4 separate regions of the Mus musculus genome follow, and all the other regions are reported to be linked to region 3. Evidence: microRNA targets listed by miRTarBase, many of them from high-throughput screens and not tested one by one. Region 3 holds a microRNA gene; each other region holds the end of a gene's coding sequence. Distances are between the middles of the regions.

Evidence for each region. Region 3 holds the annotated microRNA mmu-miR-669c-3p (UACACACACACACACAAGUAAA, at 2,586-2,607, shown strand). A microRNA usually pairs through its seed, bases 2 to 8, with sites in the 3' UTR of a target mRNA and lowers its output. Matches are read on the target gene's strand: a 7mer-m8 pairs with bases 2 to 8, a 7mer-A1 pairs with bases 2 to 7 and ends in A, and an 8mer does both.
Region 1: miRTarBase lists Clic5 as a target of mmu-miR-669c-3p. Seed matches in the 3' UTR shown: 7mer-m8 at 2,892-2,898, 7mer-m8 at 2,890-2,896, 7mer-m8 at 2,888-2,894, 7mer-m8 at 2,886-2,892, 7mer-m8 at 2,884-2,890, 7mer-m8 at 2,882-2,888 and 15 more.
Region 2: miRTarBase lists Smad2 as a target of mmu-miR-669c-3p. Seed matches in the 3' UTR shown: 7mer-m8 at 3,499-3,505 and 7mer-m8 at 554-560.
Region 4: the mRNA of Adig is a reported target of mmu-miR-669c-3p. The part of its 3' UTR that is shown has no 7-base or 8-base seed match.

What each region holds. Positions count from the first base shown.
Region 1 is chr17:44,274,629-44,279,079 of GRCm38, reverse strand. Clic5 (chloride intracellular channel 5) reads right to left here. Exons shown (of 6, transcript NM_172621.2): 6 at 1-3,866. The coding sequence ends at 3,699. Among named protein-coding and RNA genes, the nearest start is that of Clic5, 88 kb to the right of the region's middle.
Region 2 is chr18:76,304,139-76,308,589 of GRCm38, reverse strand. It overlaps Smad2 (SMAD family member 2), which reads right to left. Exons shown (of 11, transcript NM_010754.5): 11 at 1-3,983. The coding sequence ends at 3,860. Among named protein-coding and RNA genes, the nearest start is that of Smad2, 65 kb to the right of the region's middle.
Region 3 is chr2:10,506,774-10,511,224 of GRCm38, forward strand. It overlaps Mir669c (microRNA 669c), which reads left to right and starts at 2,523; the gene lies at 2,523-2,631. All of the region lies in intron 10 of Sfmbt2 (Scm-like with four mbt domains 2), which reads left to right. Mir467d (microRNA 467d) reads left to right here and starts at 857; the gene lies at 857-941. It overlaps Mir466 (microRNA 466), which reads left to right and starts at 1,145; the gene lies at 1,145-1,217. It also overlaps Mir297c and Mir669a-2.
Region 4 is chr2:158,505,155-158,509,565 of GRCm38, reverse strand. Adig (adipogenin) reads right to left here. Exons shown (of 3, transcript NM_145635.2): 2 at 3,645-3,774; 3 at 1,368-1,611. The coding sequence ends at 3,659. Among named protein-coding and RNA genes, the nearest start is that of Adig, 4.7 kb to the right of the region's middle.

The sequences.
Region 1 (4,451 bases), not on the chromosome of region 3:
TGAGAATCACTGAATTTAGTTTCAATCATGAGTTAGTGTTTCATGTTTCCCAGCAAAGCCACATTAGTATCCTGCCTCATCTTGCAGCTGAGCTAACTCCTAGACCATGGAAGAATGGACAGAAACCCCAGAAGTACCTACCGACCAGACACCTACTGCTTCTAGAAGGATTTGATTGTAGATGCAAACTCTTTTAGCGATGGTGAACTTTTATTAGATGGACACACGGCTTCTGCCTTGACTTCCCTCATAATACAATTTACCTGGGCCTGGAAGGTCCCCAGAACTTGTCAACAGCAACGTCTCTCTGTGCCAGGCATGTTTCATTCCATGATGGTTCTAACCTGCTTAGGACTACCTGTCTGCAGAATGTCCACCCCTCTAGTCACTGTTCTTGTTTCACCTCATAAGAACCTCACAAGAAGGTACCAGCAGGTTCTGCCCCAAACTTCACTTTTGGAACAGTTTGGTTTTGAAGAAAAAAAAAGAGAGCCTATTTGTTCCCACCAACACTAGAGGGGACCAGTGGGGACATTGCCACCTACCAGGAAGCTAGAACTAGTTTGGGATCGACTGCCTAAATAAACTGAGTGACCATTTCCTACTTTGCAACTGATTTGTTTGGTTCCAGTAGGCTACCTAGACCCCTCATTTAAACTGTGAGATAGACACATGACTGTGATCCTGAACTTACCAGGACATTTTCTTTTTTTTCAGGAGAATATGAAATTATATTTCTAAACAAGCAAACAATTCACTTTCTATCTTATTGTGGATAGTTAATAACATCTTCTCTCTGGATCAACCTAAGAATGTCTTCTGTCTGGATCAACCTAAGAAGTGGGCAGTTTTAAATAGGTAGGTACACTCAGCTCAGTAATTTTGAGTCAGACCCCGTCTGTCTGTCTTGCTTTGCACTTAACGTTTCATACATACAAGATTGTCATGTGACAATCCAAGGTGAGAAAAGAATACACAATAGCTCTGTCAACATAGCTTCCTTTTCTCTGACATCCAAATGCTTCCTGGGGGACTGGCATTTACCGGAATAGCTCTTATCCAGAATTTCTGCAGGTAGAGTCCACACTACAAACCCTTCCACATGGTCTGAGCTGGGACTTGGAACCTCAACACAGGGTGACTGCAGATGGTAAACCATATACATATCAAGGTTAAGACCAAGGTCCAAAGAAACTAGAGCCTCCAGAGAAAACTCTCCTTGGAGGGGGTGGGGTAGGTAATCATCATTGACTTTATTGCTATTTTTTTTACATACTATGATAATTGTGTCCTAAGACATTGGTTAGTCTCATTATAGTTATTTGATAACATTAAAGTTACATCTGCATTAAAGTACTGAGGAAAGCCTCCCATTTACAATCGTGCCTCTCTTTAAAGGGGTTCTGATTGATCCTATAGCATCCAACATTGCCTAAATATTGTGATGTATGTGAAACTAACTCAACCATAGGAGAACCGTCTAGAAACAACATCGACTCGGCTTGGGAAGTTTGTTTTTAAAAGACATGCCGATTGCTGGGCTCAGAGCATCACATGAGGAAAATTCTTCCCCTTCCTCTGAGGCCCCTCAGCATGCACGCTAGTCTTCATATCTTTAACACCAGCCCACCTTTGGAAAATAGGGGTGTGAGCTGCGTGAGTTCACCCTGCCTGCTTGTAAATTCTAGGAAGGATCCCGGAGAACAGCATGGTTTTCTTTTAATTAAACGGCCTTCCGGATGGTTCCGGAAGTTCTGCTTCCCCGAGAGGCCCATTGAGGGCTCTTCCCTGAAGAAAAAAGTGCTGTTCCCTCAGCAGTGCTACACTTTTAAACATCCCCAGGGGTAGCTTATGGAGAGCCCGTGGAAAGGTTCCTGTAGCGATGGAAATGAATCGGCTCATTTTGCCTCTTCAAAGCCCCTTCAGGTTTATAAACTTCTAGCAGGCAGAGTCCTCTTCCCCAGTGGGCTAGGGAGACCTCCTGCTTCCTCCCTCCTTGGATCAATGGTCACTCTTTGCTTTGGAGATCCCTAGAGGCAGGAGGGCTCAGTGACTGCTTGGGTTAAACCATGTTGTATTTCTATGGAAAGGATCTGTGCTGCTCCACCCTCCCGAGCAATGAGCCAAGACCAGGGCCTTACCGGCCCTCAGGAGCCTCGCCTCCACTGTCAGTGACACAGAAGCGGGATTGTTGGAGTTGAGGTCCTGGTGATGGATTTCTTCTAGGCACTCACTAGCTCACTGGTAGAGGAAGAGCTAATGAGTGATTGATTTGTCATAGTTCCTAATCAGCCTAGGTTCTCATGGTCACACCCTGTGAGAGTTGTAGGTAAAACTCAAGGAGAATTACTAAAGAGAGAAATATTAGTTTATAAAGAAATTTTTAAAAAGTTTTCTCTTCCTTGAAAATCTGATAGATGAGCCTGCTGACAGGAAAATGAACCCAAGCCCAAGGCAGTCCATAATTTCCAAATTCAAGTTGTGGCTTCCCAGTCAGAAAGACCCATGGGCTTTCTTCCTAAGGTAGCCCACGATCACACCATTCATTAATAGACTTTCTCTTTCATCAGAGGCTGAGGCTGAAGAAACTGGGAGCCAGGGCACAGGCAGGTGGCAACCCACATCTGCAAGTGACTATGAAGAGCCTGGAAGACATTTTTGGCTGATGTTGGAGTCTGCTCTACAGTTGGTAGGGGTGCCGTAACACCAATCCAAGATTTAGATAATGAGAGAGAAGACTGCTCTAAAAGTTTTCTAGGCTATGTCAAACTCAAATAGAACTTTATTTCCTCCCATCCCTCCACTTCCTTCGCTTGCTCAAACCCAAAGCTACCCACTGAAGAACACAGTCACACACACACACACACACACACACACACACACACACACACACACACACTCTCATGTGATCTCCAGTGGACGACTACTCTTCAGCCAGTGACCCCTGTGGCTGTAGACCCTGTTTGGGCCTTTTGGCATCAATATTGCTTCCCAGAAGTCTCTCCCTATCTGGGTCACCTTGGTTTAGAGTTATAAATCGACTGCCTTTGTGGCAAAATGGAGACAGGAGGAAAACTTGGGTCAGTGCTGGCCAGGATGTAATCATATTGCACCAGAAAACTGGGGTATATTGTGTGTTGGGGGTGTCTCCATCTGGCCCACTGTCAGAAATAGTGAGCATCTGGAACTGTTTTGCTAGAGCCACACCCAGCTGAGTCCCCCCAACCACTGTCTCCCCAATCAAGGCATAGATCTCTCCCTGACGATGATGTATCTGTCCATCACCTTGCATTTGCTGAGGAACGAGGGGAGAGAGAAGCTGGCATTTCAAGTTGTTAGCGCATCTGAGAAAGCATTATGATATTGGCAGAAGGGAACGGTGACAATCCCATGAGAGCTCTGCAAACTGACCCCAGATTCACTGACCCCAGATACACTGACCCTAGATCAGACCAGCAGGTGGAAAAAAAATCTGCCACCGTGTCCTCTGCTTGCCAGGCTCCTGCAGGGCAAGGCAGAAGGATGGCACTGATCTTAGAAGGTAGAAGGCTGGAGTTGAGTTCAGGGGTGCCAGTAAGATGTGGCCTAATTTTTTTTTATGTTTCCCCAAGGCAATGGGGAAGAAGAGTCTGTAGAGCTGAAAGCCATTGGGAGAAGTAGAATTCTTCTGCAGCAGAAATTGGGCCAGACAGCCAAGCTCACGATCGGCTGAGGCGCCTGGCGACATCTGCGTAGGCCAACTCGATCTCACTGTCAGCTGCACAGGTGTTGGTGAACTCGTCCCGTGCATAGGCATTCTTGAGGTATCGCCACAAGCCTGTCATCTCAGCTGGGATGTCATAGTTTCGGTACTTCTTAGCCACAATCTAAGCAAAGATGACAAGAAAATGATGGCATGAAGGCAGGAAACAAAACATTAGGAGGTGTTGGGACCATGGTTTCATGGGTGGCTGTGCATATCAGGTATGTTTGCATACAGCATGGCCAAGAGAAGCTGGGTAGAAAGACTAGCCATATCTGCAAGCTCCCAGGGTCTTGCAAACAAGAGGTCCTTGCTCTTGCTTTAAGGCTGTGTCAATATCAGTACATTCTTCATATATTTTTTTAACAAAGGACCTCTTATTCACTGCTCCCTGGGACCTGCCCATTAGTCTTTCCTGTAGCCCTCAGGGTCATGCAGGGGCAGCAGAGAGCAGAATCTCTCCCAGGGTTCTGCTTCTAACTTTCTCTGTTTTCTCTTGGGGGTGGCAGAGGGCACCAAACCATGGGGTCTGATATTTTCCTGCTCAGGGACCCCCAGCTCAGCCACGCAAGGATTTCTTCCTTGCTGTATGGGTCATGAGGAGTCCACAGGAAATGATGCCAAGAAGACAATGACAGTCTGCTGCATGAAAAGCCATTAGGAGGACACCTTTCTTCCCATCTCTCATTCCAGTTCTGAGCTTCTGGTA
Region 2 (4,451 bases), not on the chromosome of region 3:
TCACCTAAGACCATCAAAAATCAAAGATATTTACATTATGATTCATAACAGTAGCAAAATTACAGTAATGAAGTAGCAATAAAATAATTTTATGGCTGGGGGTCACCACAACATGAGGAACTGCACTAAAGGGTCACACCGCTGATCTAGACTGTCCCCAAACTGTGATGGAGATGCTGTTACCATCTAAACTATGATAAATAATGTTGAGTTTGCTACTTGTCAGTCACAGGGACATTTTAACTGGGCAAAAATTCCAGAGTCATTTGAAAGACTCCAACAACGGTCCAGGAATGAACAATACTAGCTTGCCTGCAGGGAAATGCATCGCACTAAGGGAAGAATACAGAATGCATTCAGAAAAAAAAATAGAGCTGATTGACTGGGGAGGGTAAGGTGCAAGGAAGCCTGGGTTTAGCAAAGTGCTCAGGCAAAAGCATGACAAGTAATAAGTCTGATCTATCAGGACACCAAAGCCTTAAGCCACAGTATGGGGAAAGGCCCTTGGCTGCCCTGTGAAGACATACCTGAGATAGTTGCACAGAGAGGTGCAACACACAGGCAAGCTGGAAGGGTCAACTTAGATTGTCTCCTTACTTTATACCTCACCACCAAATCAACTACTCTCCAGCAAAGAGGACACCTAAGAGAACAACTGTTCCAAGTAGTTAATCTTAAAAAAAGGGGGAGGGCTTAAAAACACATACGGGCAGCTCTTGGCAGAGGTAGGGAAGGCAACTGGGCATCTGCTTTCTTTGACTTCAACCAGCAAAAGCCTACTAACCTGACTGACTTGGACTCTTAGTCGGGATGAACTGACAACCAAGGCGTGATGAAGGTGAAATTAAAGAAACAAAGAAGGAACTCTGTACATATACATACATATATGTACACAATTAGAAGATTCAGCTCTCAAGAAAACATATGCAAATTCCTTCTGGCAAAGTCATAGGCCCTGAAAACAACAGGAACTCTCACAGGACTAAGCCCAACTCCAGAGCCAGGACATGGTCCCAGAATCACATTGGCTGGGTAAACAATAGGCAGGAACTATGCTGACTAAATGTATATAACGATGGATAGTAAGTCTAACTGGTGTGGCTCAGACCCTAGCAGGAAAGGGTCCTTAAGTCACAGCCCAGTTTAGTGGCATTCCAAAAGACTGGCCTAATACAACCAAATGTTTGAATCTGGTAGAAAGGCTTTCAAATTACTGCTGAGACATGATGCTAAATAATGTGGAGAAATTAAATCAATATAAATCAACCAAGAGAGGCCGTAGGAATCATCTGGAACAAAAATCAGTCTTGCAAAAGAGGTGAAATCAACAAAATCTAGGTGACAGTAGCGCATGCCCACAGCATTCCGGTGAAAAGCAAAGATAAGCACTGAATTCTTTTCACATGAGTTTACACGGTGACTTGTTCACGCTCGGTGGTATAGAAAACCTATTCCTGAACCCCAACCATGGAGCTGTGTCTCACTGTTGGCAACACTTTAACATGTCTGATAACCTCCTACCACTTTCAAAGCTGTCCTCTGCCCCAGAACTGTCCCAACAGCTCAAGTTTTCTAGTCTGTGGAAACTTCCAGAGAAGGGGCAGTTTATGTACAAGGATCTCCAGTAGGCTCAACAGCAATAATGCACAGGACAATTGCTCTATCACAAGATGGGCAGCGGAAGGGAAGCAGTGATAGCCGATATGCAGCAACACGTCCAGAAGCAAGCAGGGAGGCTCCAGACTGGTGAGCATTTACGTAACGGGAGTTGTTAAATTAAGTGGCACTGACCTGGTGTAAGAAAGCTGTACAAGGTCTGAGGAATAGATTACAGTGAGATGACAGAAGCAGCCTGTCACAAAGCAGTCCCACCTTCAACAAATTCTAAACTGAACAAGCATTTTCATCACCACGTGTGGGTGTGTGCAGGTGTGTGCACAATCATGATACCTGACAGTGAGTCTCTATGAGCCTGAGCCTTTGGATGCTGATAATGTTCCAGCAGTGTTAAATTGCCCTTGGCTCTTCACATGGCTTTCTCTTCCTAGGTCAGGGGTTAGCTTACACATCACTCTCCAGATGCCTTCCTAATATCCTACCAAAAGCATCGTCTCTGCCATTCTCAAAGTATACCCTGTTTACCTCCTATGCAGACACTTGAGTATGGGTTAAACCAACTGCTCTTAGCAAAGGCAGGAACTATAGCTATCTTGTTCACCTTCACCCAAAAGTTAAGGAAGTTCATGGCACATTAACAGGTGAACAATAAATATTTGAATAAAAATTACTATACCAAATTTACATGAACACATAACATACAAACACAAATATAGGAAAATGAGAAATATCAAATAGAAAACAACCAATGTTGAAAAGCATCAAAAATGATTACTGTACATACATGTGAGAATGGTCTCAAAGAGTAAGTACCAAAAGTATTTGTCTGCAAAAATATGAAAGTTTACAAAAAGGAGACCAGGCATTTGTACGGAGTTGCAAACGAGAAAGGAGTCAACACTGGACATGACTGTCGTGTGCTGCAGAAGGGAGGACCAAAGGACAGCTGGGATCTCCTTCCTGCAGAGCTGAAAGGTCAGCAAACCACACACCCAGGGTAAGTCAGGAAGAGCTAAGTCCACAGCTAACTGCGGGCTAGAAATCTTGCTAAATGGCTTAGCTCACAATATTTAAACCTTTGAAGCTAGGTAAAATAACATTCTACTTATAAATTACATACAATACACTTTAAAAACAGATGGCCCTATCTGCTGACAAGACCTCAGCGTCACTCTAACACATTTACAAAAGGTCTGTTCTGTAATACAACCTGGTAGTAAAAGTAAAATGAGGCAAAAGGTCGGCTGCCTTTACAGAAAGGTACTTTATTATTAGACTGGCTTTGGAAGAAGGAAACAGACTGAGATGATTCTAGAATAGCCCTGAAAATAATTATACTGCCACCTGTGCATGTTTGAGACAAAAGTTAATCAACAGAACAACTGGTTATACACATCAGTTATCATCTGCTGAAGTCTGGTTATTAGACAAAAGGACTTACTGCCCACACAAACCTTTCCTGGACTCAGAAACAACTAACCCAGAAGCCAGCAGTGCAACTGTTTAGCACGACGTCATTCTGCTGTACTGCTCTGAACCAGAACAGGAATGGGATGAGGAGCCTGGACGGTTCCAGTAAGGTTTCCTTCTAATGCAACTCAGGAGAAAAGGCTCACAAAAGAACGACTGCTAAGATCCACTGGACACATGAAGGTCAAGGACTTCCAAGTTAATCCACTTGTCTTCCCCCAAGAGTTTGTTTATTTTTGGTAAAAGGCAGAAAAATTAGTTTCTACAAGGAAAATCTGCTTCTAAATGATAATTTGAAAATCTTGATATATATATATTATATATTAAAAAAGACACAAAAATAACGGAGAAGTGGGAATAACAGATTAGATACTGTAATTTTATAAAGGCTTGCCTAGACCAAGAAGCAGCACACACACCTCATTTATGCAAACTAAGAATGTATACAAACAGCATAGTACTGCAATACTGGGTCTGGACACATTACCTGTACACAACTACTACTGTTATTAATAACCTTTGGGATACTGTCTTATGCCCAACAAGACATCATTAAGTCTTTAAGTCTTCTTTTTCCCCGCTGGGGAGGGCATTTCTAGACACTAATTTTCCCATCTAATATTCAAATATAGGAAACAGATTCCACAAGGTGCTTTAACTGATGAGACCTCAAGTGCTGTTTTTGCTCTGGAATTTTTGGATAGCAAACAGTCCACGGGATCATACATGAATACTACGACGGAGGAGCTGTTACAGCGAGTCTTTGATGGGTTTACGACATGCTTGAGCATCGCACTGAAGGGGATCCCATCTGAGTTAATACTTTGTCCAGCCACTGCAGAGGGCCATTCAGATGAAGTTCAATCCAGCAAGGAGTACTTGTTACTGTCTGCCTCCTGTTTGAAAGAACACAAAAACAATTAGGAAACTAGAAGGTTGTATAAAATAAAATCTATTTCTTTAGAATAATTATTAGTCTTGTGTATATATTTATAAATTTTAAAATGGTTGACATTTACTGCTAAAAATGAACTAGTGAGTTTGGTCCTTTTTCAAGAATTTTATTTATGTGTGGCACATATGTATGTTTCCAGGTGCATGCAGAAGCCAGAAGGGAGTTGGGTGTCTTCCTCAACTTAACCTCGTTTCCTTGCGTCGGGGTCACTCCCTGAACCTGAAGCTCCCTCGCTATTCTAGCTGGACTGACTGGCTGGCTGGCCAGCAAGCTCCTAGAATCCATCTGTCCCCGGGGCCTCGGTTCCTCAGTCCCAGCACCCCCATCTCCACCCACGATGGTGTTATACACACTCACAGCCATGGCTGGTTCTTTTGGGTGCTAGAGCTTCACACTCAAATCCTTGTAC
Region 3 (4,451 bases):
CACACCAAAATGTGCATGTGTGTGTAGTTGTGTGCATATTCACTTCTCTATGTGAATATGCATATACACACATGCAGACACAGGAATGGCACTCATATATCCTTTGGAATGGTATGTGACTCAGAGCTTTAGAGCTTATGCAGTGCTGGGCCAGAGCTATGTCTCAGTTAGGAGGTGGATGCTCTTGCCAGCGTCAGGAGGTCCCAGAGTTCAAATTCATGTTTAACTTCCTGATGAGTTACAGATCAGCCTGTTATTCATGTGATTGTTTCTGTGTATGTGTATAGATAAGTTTGTCTGTACATGCGGATATATGAAAAGACATATATTGACACATATTCACACATGCATGCATACAGAAACACATGGCAGTCATCCATAAGTTTTATATGTGCTTAGAATTTCATAGAGTGTATATTTATGGTACAGTGAAATATCTCGCCAACTAGATGAAAACCGCTTGCCAGAATCAGAAGTCTTGGAGTTCAGAATCATGCTTAACTTAATGATCAGTTAGTGATCATCCTGGATTCGTGTGATGGACCCTAGGTATGTACATGCACACATAATTTTGTGTGCATGTACATGTGTGTATATGATTATACATAACACACACACACACACACACACGTATAAAAGCAAGCACACACACACCAAGGTATGGCATTCATCGATCCATTTGAATGATATATGTCTTAGAATGTTACTGATTATGCAGTAGAAGGACAGTGAATGGTCTCACTCACAAGGTGTAAACAATTGGCATTGTCAGGAGGATCAGGAGTTCAATTTCATGCTTAACTTCATGAGCAGTTAGAGATCATCCTGGAATAATGTGATGGCCCCTATGTATGTGCCTGTGTGCATAAGTGCGCGCATGTATATGCGTGTATATTTTATGCATATACATACACACACCTACACACACATGCACACAGACATGCGGGAATGGCCCTCACGGATCCATTTGAATGATATGTGACCTACTGCTTTGGAGGTTATGTATGACTGGGCCAGGGTGAGGTCTCACAAACCACGGGAAAACCCTTGGTAGAGTCGGGAAGATCAGGAGTGCAAGTTCATGGTAAAGGCATGATGAGTTAGAGGTCATCCTGGCATTCATGTGATTGCCCCTATGTATGTGTATATGTGTTTATGTGTGTGTACATGTACATATGTGAATATGATATCCATATACATACACGCACACATAAGACACATATGAGCACACAGGCACACAGGAATGGCACTCACTCATTGATCTATGTGACTGTGAGCTTTGGAGATTATGTGTGACTAGGTCAGGGAGAGTTATCACCCATCATGTTAAAAATGCTTGTTAGAATCAGGAGGTCAGGAGTTCAAATTCATGCTTTATTTCATGATGACTTAGAGATCTGCCTGGGAATCATGTGATGTCCCCATGTATGTGTATATGTGTGTAACTGTGTGTGGATTGTGTATATGAATATACATACCTACACACACATAGACCCATCCACAGACACAGACACACACACGCATGCCACTCCTCAGTCCATTTGAATGATATGTGACTTAGAGTTTTAGAGATTCTGCAGTACTCAATAGGGAGAGGTCTCACACCACAGAGTCAGGTGGATCAAGAGTTCAAATTCATGTTTAACTTCATGATGAGTTAGAGATCAGCATGCTATTCATGTGATGACCATAAAGAATGTGCATGTGTGTATAGCTTTGTGCACATACACTTCTCTATATGAATATGCATATACACGCATGCACACACACTCACTCACAGGAATGGCCAGAGCTATGTCTCAGTTAACTTACCAGGTAAAACGCTTGCCTTTTGGATCAGCAGTTCAAATTCCTGAATAACTTCAAAATGACCTAGGGATCAGCCTGGCCTCATGGCATCCTCCCCCCATATATGTGCATGTGTGTATAGTTTTGTGTATATGTACATGTGTGTATACAAATATACATCTACATACAGACAAACATAAACACACAGGCACGCACACACACACACACACACACGCGCACACACACAGAGGAATGTCACTCATTGATCCTTTTGAATGACAGGTGACTCAGAGCTTTAGAGATTATGCAGGGCTGGGCCAGTGAGTGCTCTCACTCACAAGGTGAAAATGCTTGCTTGCCAGACTTTGGATGACCAGGAATCAAAATTCATGCTGAACTTCATGATGAGTTCGTGATCAGCTTCGGAGTCTTGTGATGACCCTAGTATATATGCCTGTGTGTATATGTATGTGTGCATGTACATGTGTGTATATGAATATACATATACATACACACATACCCATACAAACATGCATACAAACACACAAAAATTGGCACTCATCCATCTATTTGAATAATTAGTGACTTAGAGTCTTAGAGATTCTGTATGACTGGGGCTGACAGAGAGAGGTCTCAGTCACCAGGAGAAGACTTGCTAGATTCAGGGTGATCAGGAGTGCACATTCATGTTAACGGCATGATGAGTTAGAGATCAGCCTGGCATTCATGTGATGCCTCCATGTATGTGCATGTGTGTATAGTTGTGTGTGGATGTGTGTATTTGCATATAAATAACATACACACACACACACAAGTAAACACAAGTGCACAAACAGACACAGGAATGCCATTCATCGATCCATTGGAATGATAAGTGATTTAGAGTTTTAGAGATTTTGAAGTAGAGACGGTGAATTGTCTCACTCACCAGTTGTAAACGATTGAAAGAGTCAAGAGGATCTGGAGTTCCAATTCACTCCTATGTTCAGCTAGATAGCATCCTGGTATTCATGTGATATCGCCCATGTGTGTGCATGTGAGTATAGTTGTGTGTGCATGTCTGTATTTGAATATACATAACATACACACACTAATGCAAGTACACACACACACACACACACACACACACACTCACACCAATGCCACTCATCAATCCATTGGAATGATGTGTCACTTAGAGTATTAGAGATTATGCAGTACTTGGCCAGTGAGTGCTCTCAGTCTCTAGGTGAAAATGCTTGCTAGAGTTAAGAGTATTCAGGAGTTAAAACACATACTGACCTTCATGAGGATTTAGAGATCAGCCTGTGATTCATGTGATGGCCCCATGATTGTGCATGTGTATATAGTTGTGTGTGCATGTTCATGCATGTATTTGCATATACATAACATACACGTATAAACGCAAGCACACACACATAGAGACACAAGAATGGCTTTCATCGATCCCTTTGAATGATATGTCACTTAGCATATTAGAGATTATGCAGTACTTGGCCAGTGAGTGCTCTTATTCTCTAGGTGAAAATGCTTGCTAGAGTTAAGAGTATCAGGAGTTTAAATTCATGCTTATCCTCATGAGAGATCAGCCTGAGATTCCTCCATGTATGTGCATGTGTGTATAGTTGTGTGTGCATGTTCATGTCTATATTTGAATATACATAACATACACACACACGTATAAACGCAAGCACACACACAGACACAGGAATGGCATTCATTGACCCATTTAAATGATATGCCACTCAGAGTAGTAGAGATTATTCAGTATGGGGCAAGTGAGTGCTCTCATTCTCTAGGTGAAAATGCTTACTATAGTTAGGAGTATCAGAAGTTCAAATTTATGCTTATCTTCAGCATGATTTAGAGATAAGCCTGTGATTCATGTGATGCCTTAAGTGTACATGCAGGTTTGTATAGTTGTGTGTGTATGTTCATGTGTCTATATGGATATACATAACATATACATAGACATATAAACCCTAGCGTGCACACACACACACACACACACACACACACACACACACACACACACACGAATAACATTCATAGATCCATTTATATGATATGCCACCTAGAATATTAGAAATTATTCAGTACTGGGCCAGTGAGTGCTGTCATTTTCTAGGTAAAAATGCTTGCTAGAATCAGGAGTATCAGGAGTTCAAATTCATGCTTATCTTCAGGAGGATATAGATATCTGCCTGTGATTCATGTGATTGCCACCCATGTATGTGCATGGGTGTATAGTTTTGTGTACATGTGCATGTGTGTATATGAATAGACATAACATGCACATACATATAAACACAAGCACACACACACACAGAGACACAGGAATGACACTCATCGATCCATCTGAATGATAGGTGACTTAGAGTTTTAGAGATTATGCAGTAGTGGGACAGTGAATGGTCTCAATCACCAGGTGTAAACCACAGAGTCAGGAGGATCAGGAGTTCAAATCCATGCTTAATTTCAGTTGGAGATCATCCTGGTATTTCTGTGATGCTACCCATGTATGTGCATGTGTGCTTACTTGTATGTGCATGTGCATGTGTTGATATGAATATACATAACATAAACACACGTGTATATGCAGGCACACACACACAGAAGAAATTGCATTCGTCGTTACGTTTGAATGATATATGACTTAGAGC
Region 4 (4,411 bases), 150 Mb from region 3:
GGACCCAGGCACCCACATTATGATGGTGGCTATCTTCAACATCTGACTGGGTGTGACCCAGGGACATAGGCTGCATCAGAGGTCCAGTCATGTCTTCTCCCACCAGTCCAAGGAGGTACAGAAGGGCCTGCCTGCTCCTGCTTCCCCTCAGGGTCCATCCCACATACTTCCAGACAGGTTGGGACAATGATCTGGGGACTGGACAGCATGCCCAGGATTGTGGGGAAGCTGGCCTTTGACCTCTGAGCTGCTGCTGGGGTTGCTTGTAATGGGGTTTATGGAGAAGCCTCCAGGCAAAGCCAGGGGCCAGCCCTGGCCGTGCTGAATGGGAACCATTACCAAAGGAAGCTTAGCCTCATCACGCAGATAAAAGCCCACGTAGAGCTTTGTGTGTGTGCATGTGAGTGTGCATGTGTGTGAGAACATGGGGGGGGTGTTGAGTTGATGTGTGTGCCTGTGTGTTGGGGAATGTGTAGAGGCTAGAGAAACATGGCATTCTCATGCACCCTTGGTGCCACCGTCCGTGCAAAGACTTGGGGACTTCTGTAAGCTGGACTGTGGGATTGTATCATACACACCAGCATGCTCGGAATCTTCTACAATATTTTCACATAGGGGCAGGCTTATGGGTGAAGTACAGGTATAGTCATTGCATCCTATGATGGAGGAGAGAAGAAGCCCAGGGCGTTCAGCAACATCAGCTGGCTTCAGATCCCAAAGGGCCGTGTTACAATGGATGAAGAGCTGAGACTCCAGCCAGGAGCACAGGGAGCCACAGATTGGGTTTTTTTTTTTTTTTTTTTTAGGGAAATGGGGGAGGGGTGTTCTGATGGGTGCAGTGGGTGAGTCACTCTGACAAGACAGAAGGAACAGTATAATGGTCACAGGTTATCAAGTCAGGCTCTGTCTTCTCCCTGGGAGAACTTCAGTCTTTGTGGTGTCCAGCAGGGGGAGGGACAAAGTGATATCAGATGGTACCTAGGAGGCCTGTCCCCTCTCATGGACCATCTTCCAGTTGCCTTGGGGTAACCAGAAGGGCTGCAGGAGACTTTGGTAATTCTCCAAGGCCCAGGACCTTAAAATGCAGCCAGGCACAGTGACACACCTTTAATCCCAGCACCCTGGAGGCAGAGGCAGACAGATCTCTGTGAGTTTGAGGCCAATCTGGTCTACGTGGCAAGTTCCAGGCCAGAGCTACTTCGAGACACCTGTCTTAGTGTGTGTGTGGGGGTGCAGACATTCACACTATAGTCTAATCAAGGATCAAGCCTGTGGTGTGACGTTGAAAACTCAGAGTGCTTGCCTCTGCCAGCAGACACGAGGCTGGGACAGTCCAGAGAGTGCCATGCCGAATGAATGGACATCGGAAGCTCTGTAGGGGCACAAGAGCACCCCCATTTCTTTAATAGGTATCCAACACACCCTGTGAGTTGACTGGCCAACTGGCCCCCATAAGCCGCTTGGGCCTGGCTCTTCCAGGTTCCGGGTCATCTGTGGTGATGGAGAAGGGATGGTTTGGCAAGAGGCTTGGCAGGTCTGACAACGGGAGATCCCAGGGAAGGCCATCGGTCACCAGTGTTCTCCCTCCATCCACTTAGGCCCAGATGGTACCTAGTAAACAAGCCATAAACACATGGGACTTGGGTTGGAGATGAAGTCAGAATGGAGGATAAGAGATGAGGAGCAATGGTGGGGTCGAGAAGAGCTCTCTCTGAAGATGGGCAGGGTCCTTTGGTTCGGGATGTGACTTGGTGGTACAGAACTCGCCTAGTACGCTTGAGACTCTGGGTTCAAACCCTAGCACTACCAAGACAACAAAATAAATAAATAAGTACACACAACCATAGCAGAGTCATATCAGACAGAGAGGTTTCTCTGGGGCCTTGTGTGATTTCAACGGTCAAGAAGCCTCCCCTTCCTTGTCCACGAACTTGAGCACATGAGCACACAGGAGTTTTTCCAGGGAAATGTCTCACTTGGCAAGGCTATGACCCAGAAAGGTTAAGCAAGGACTCTTAAGCTCAGGGAGGGTTCAGGGAGCCCCCCACCCCTTCTCAGTCCCACCTCCTCCCTCCAAGTGAAAGCATAGTGCTTGACCATGCTACACAACAAGGAGAACAGAGGGAAGATGTGGGCCCAGCGGAGGTGGCGATGGGTCGCCAGGACCTGTTGCCATGGCTGGATGTGAAGGAGCCCTGGAGGCTGAGCCCTAAGGTGGTGGCTGGAGCAGGGACGAAAGAAGTGGGGATGGGGCCATCGGGCTTTGCTTTGTGGGGCGACTGTGGGACATGGAGAGCTTAAACGGGGAGATGACAGAGCTCAGAGGAAGATGAGAGTGACAACATGCATTTGGGGGCCGCTGGCTGGAGGCGACATGAGCCCAGTGGCATGGCTGCCAAGGCCCTGGATCCCTCTGGATGAGACCCCAAGTTTTCACATATCCATGGAGGTGAGAACACCTCATCCCAGCTTTCACGGTGAGTGTGTGAGAAGGAGATGCATATTCCAGGACCACCAACCACACGGGTGATGACTGGCATCGTAGGCTTTGGCCAATGTGTGTGCAACTCCCCCACTGTGTGGTGGGAAGGGATTTGGGTGTTTGGATCCCCCCATTATCTAGGTTTCTGGAAGGTGGTAATTAGCCACAGCAAAGGAAAGTAGTGCAGAGTCAAGGGGGCACTGTGATATCCAATATTGGGGGAACCCCTGACAAAGTGACACTTGTGCGAGTCATGGGAGGGAAGAAGGGGAATCCAACAGCTGTGTGAGGGAGGAAGCTTCTAGCAGAGGGAAGAAGCAATGCAAAGGCCCTGAGGTGACACGAGGTGAGGAAGGGCTGGGGCTTTGTAAGGAAACTCCTCCTGGCTGAGGTGACAGTTCTCCACACACCAGGCAGGCAGCTGCCCACCAGGGGCCAACGTAGGAGCAAGGAAATTGTGAGTGTGTATTGTCAGGAGCACAACCATATAAAGGACCCCAATGCCACAGAGCCACAGGAGTGCACCCACCGGGTGTAGGGCTCAAAGGGATGGCAGGCAAAGTCTTCCTTTAGTGTGCAGAAAATGTCCACTATAGCTTTCGTCCTCCAGATTGCTATGGCCTGAAGATTACTCCCTCACAGAGACCACACTTATGAGTTTAGCTAAACCTTCCTCTTTGTCCAACTGAATATCATAGTTCCTGCTTCCCCATCCAGCTGTACACCATGGCCCCTGTCTCCTCATCCAGCTGTACACCATGGCCTCTGCCTCCTCCTACAGCTGTACACCATGGCCCCTGCCTCCTTGTCCAGCTGTAGACCATGGCCACTCCCCCTGCAACACCCCTCACCCCCCCGGTCCAGCCGTAGACCATGGCTCCTGCCTCCTTATTCAACTGTACACAATAAACATGTTCCAAAAACCCAGATCATCCCATCCAAGCTTGTCTATGTCCATGTGTCTGTCCTTTCTTCACACCTTTGCCACCCCAGTCAGGTCAAGTCCCTGAAGTCATGGAGATCATAGCAGGACAGTCAGTTCTTCAGTAAAGCCAAGGCCCAGGGTGTCCACACAGCAAGACAGCCTGCTCCAAGGGTCAGCTGCTGAGGCTCTGTGCAGGCCCGGGGTCTTACAGCTGCCCATTCCTATGGAAGGCCTTACCTGGTAGAGCAGGATCACCAGTGGAGTCCGTCCTCCTCACCAGGAAATGTCTCCTCACAGCCACACTCAGATGGTCTTTTGCTCCAGGGCTCCCAGTTGAAGCACAAATCTGAATCATCTTCCTTTGACTCTGTGGAGACCAGAGACAGAGCTTCTGGGGTGGGAACAGCCTGTAGTGCTCTGCAGCTCCAGAGGAGACATGTGCCAAGCCTGGGGTCCATGTGGCCCTGTATGAGACCTGAAGCTGGGGCAGGAGGTTAGCTCTGAGACTTTATGGTCTTGGATGGAGAACAAGGAGGGACCTAGAAATAAGATTCTCTCGGAGACAGTGACCATATCCACGTACTAAAAACAGAAGGACTCAGGAGGTGTGCAGATGTCCCACTGTCGCAGTGTGAATGGGAAATGCCCTGCACAGGATCATGGGAACTCTTGCTCCACAGCTAGTGGAAGTCTGTAGAAACTGCAGGAATCAGAGCCTCTAGAGGGAGTGGAGAGAGGGGGACCACCTGGAGGCTTTACCAGCCTCCTCCTCTTTCCTGTTCTCTGCATCCTGATGTGATGAGGTTGGCACCCAGGCTCTGCCACACCCTCCCCATCATGGTCTCTGCTTAAACCAGGAGCCCAAAATGAAGCCTTTCTTCCCTAGCTGGCTTTTGTCTGTTTTTTTGTTTGTTTGTGTTTTTTTTTGTTTGTTTTTGTTTTTTTGTCGTGGTCACAAGATTGGTAATTAATGTACCTGCTGCACTGGGCATTGTCCAGGGAAA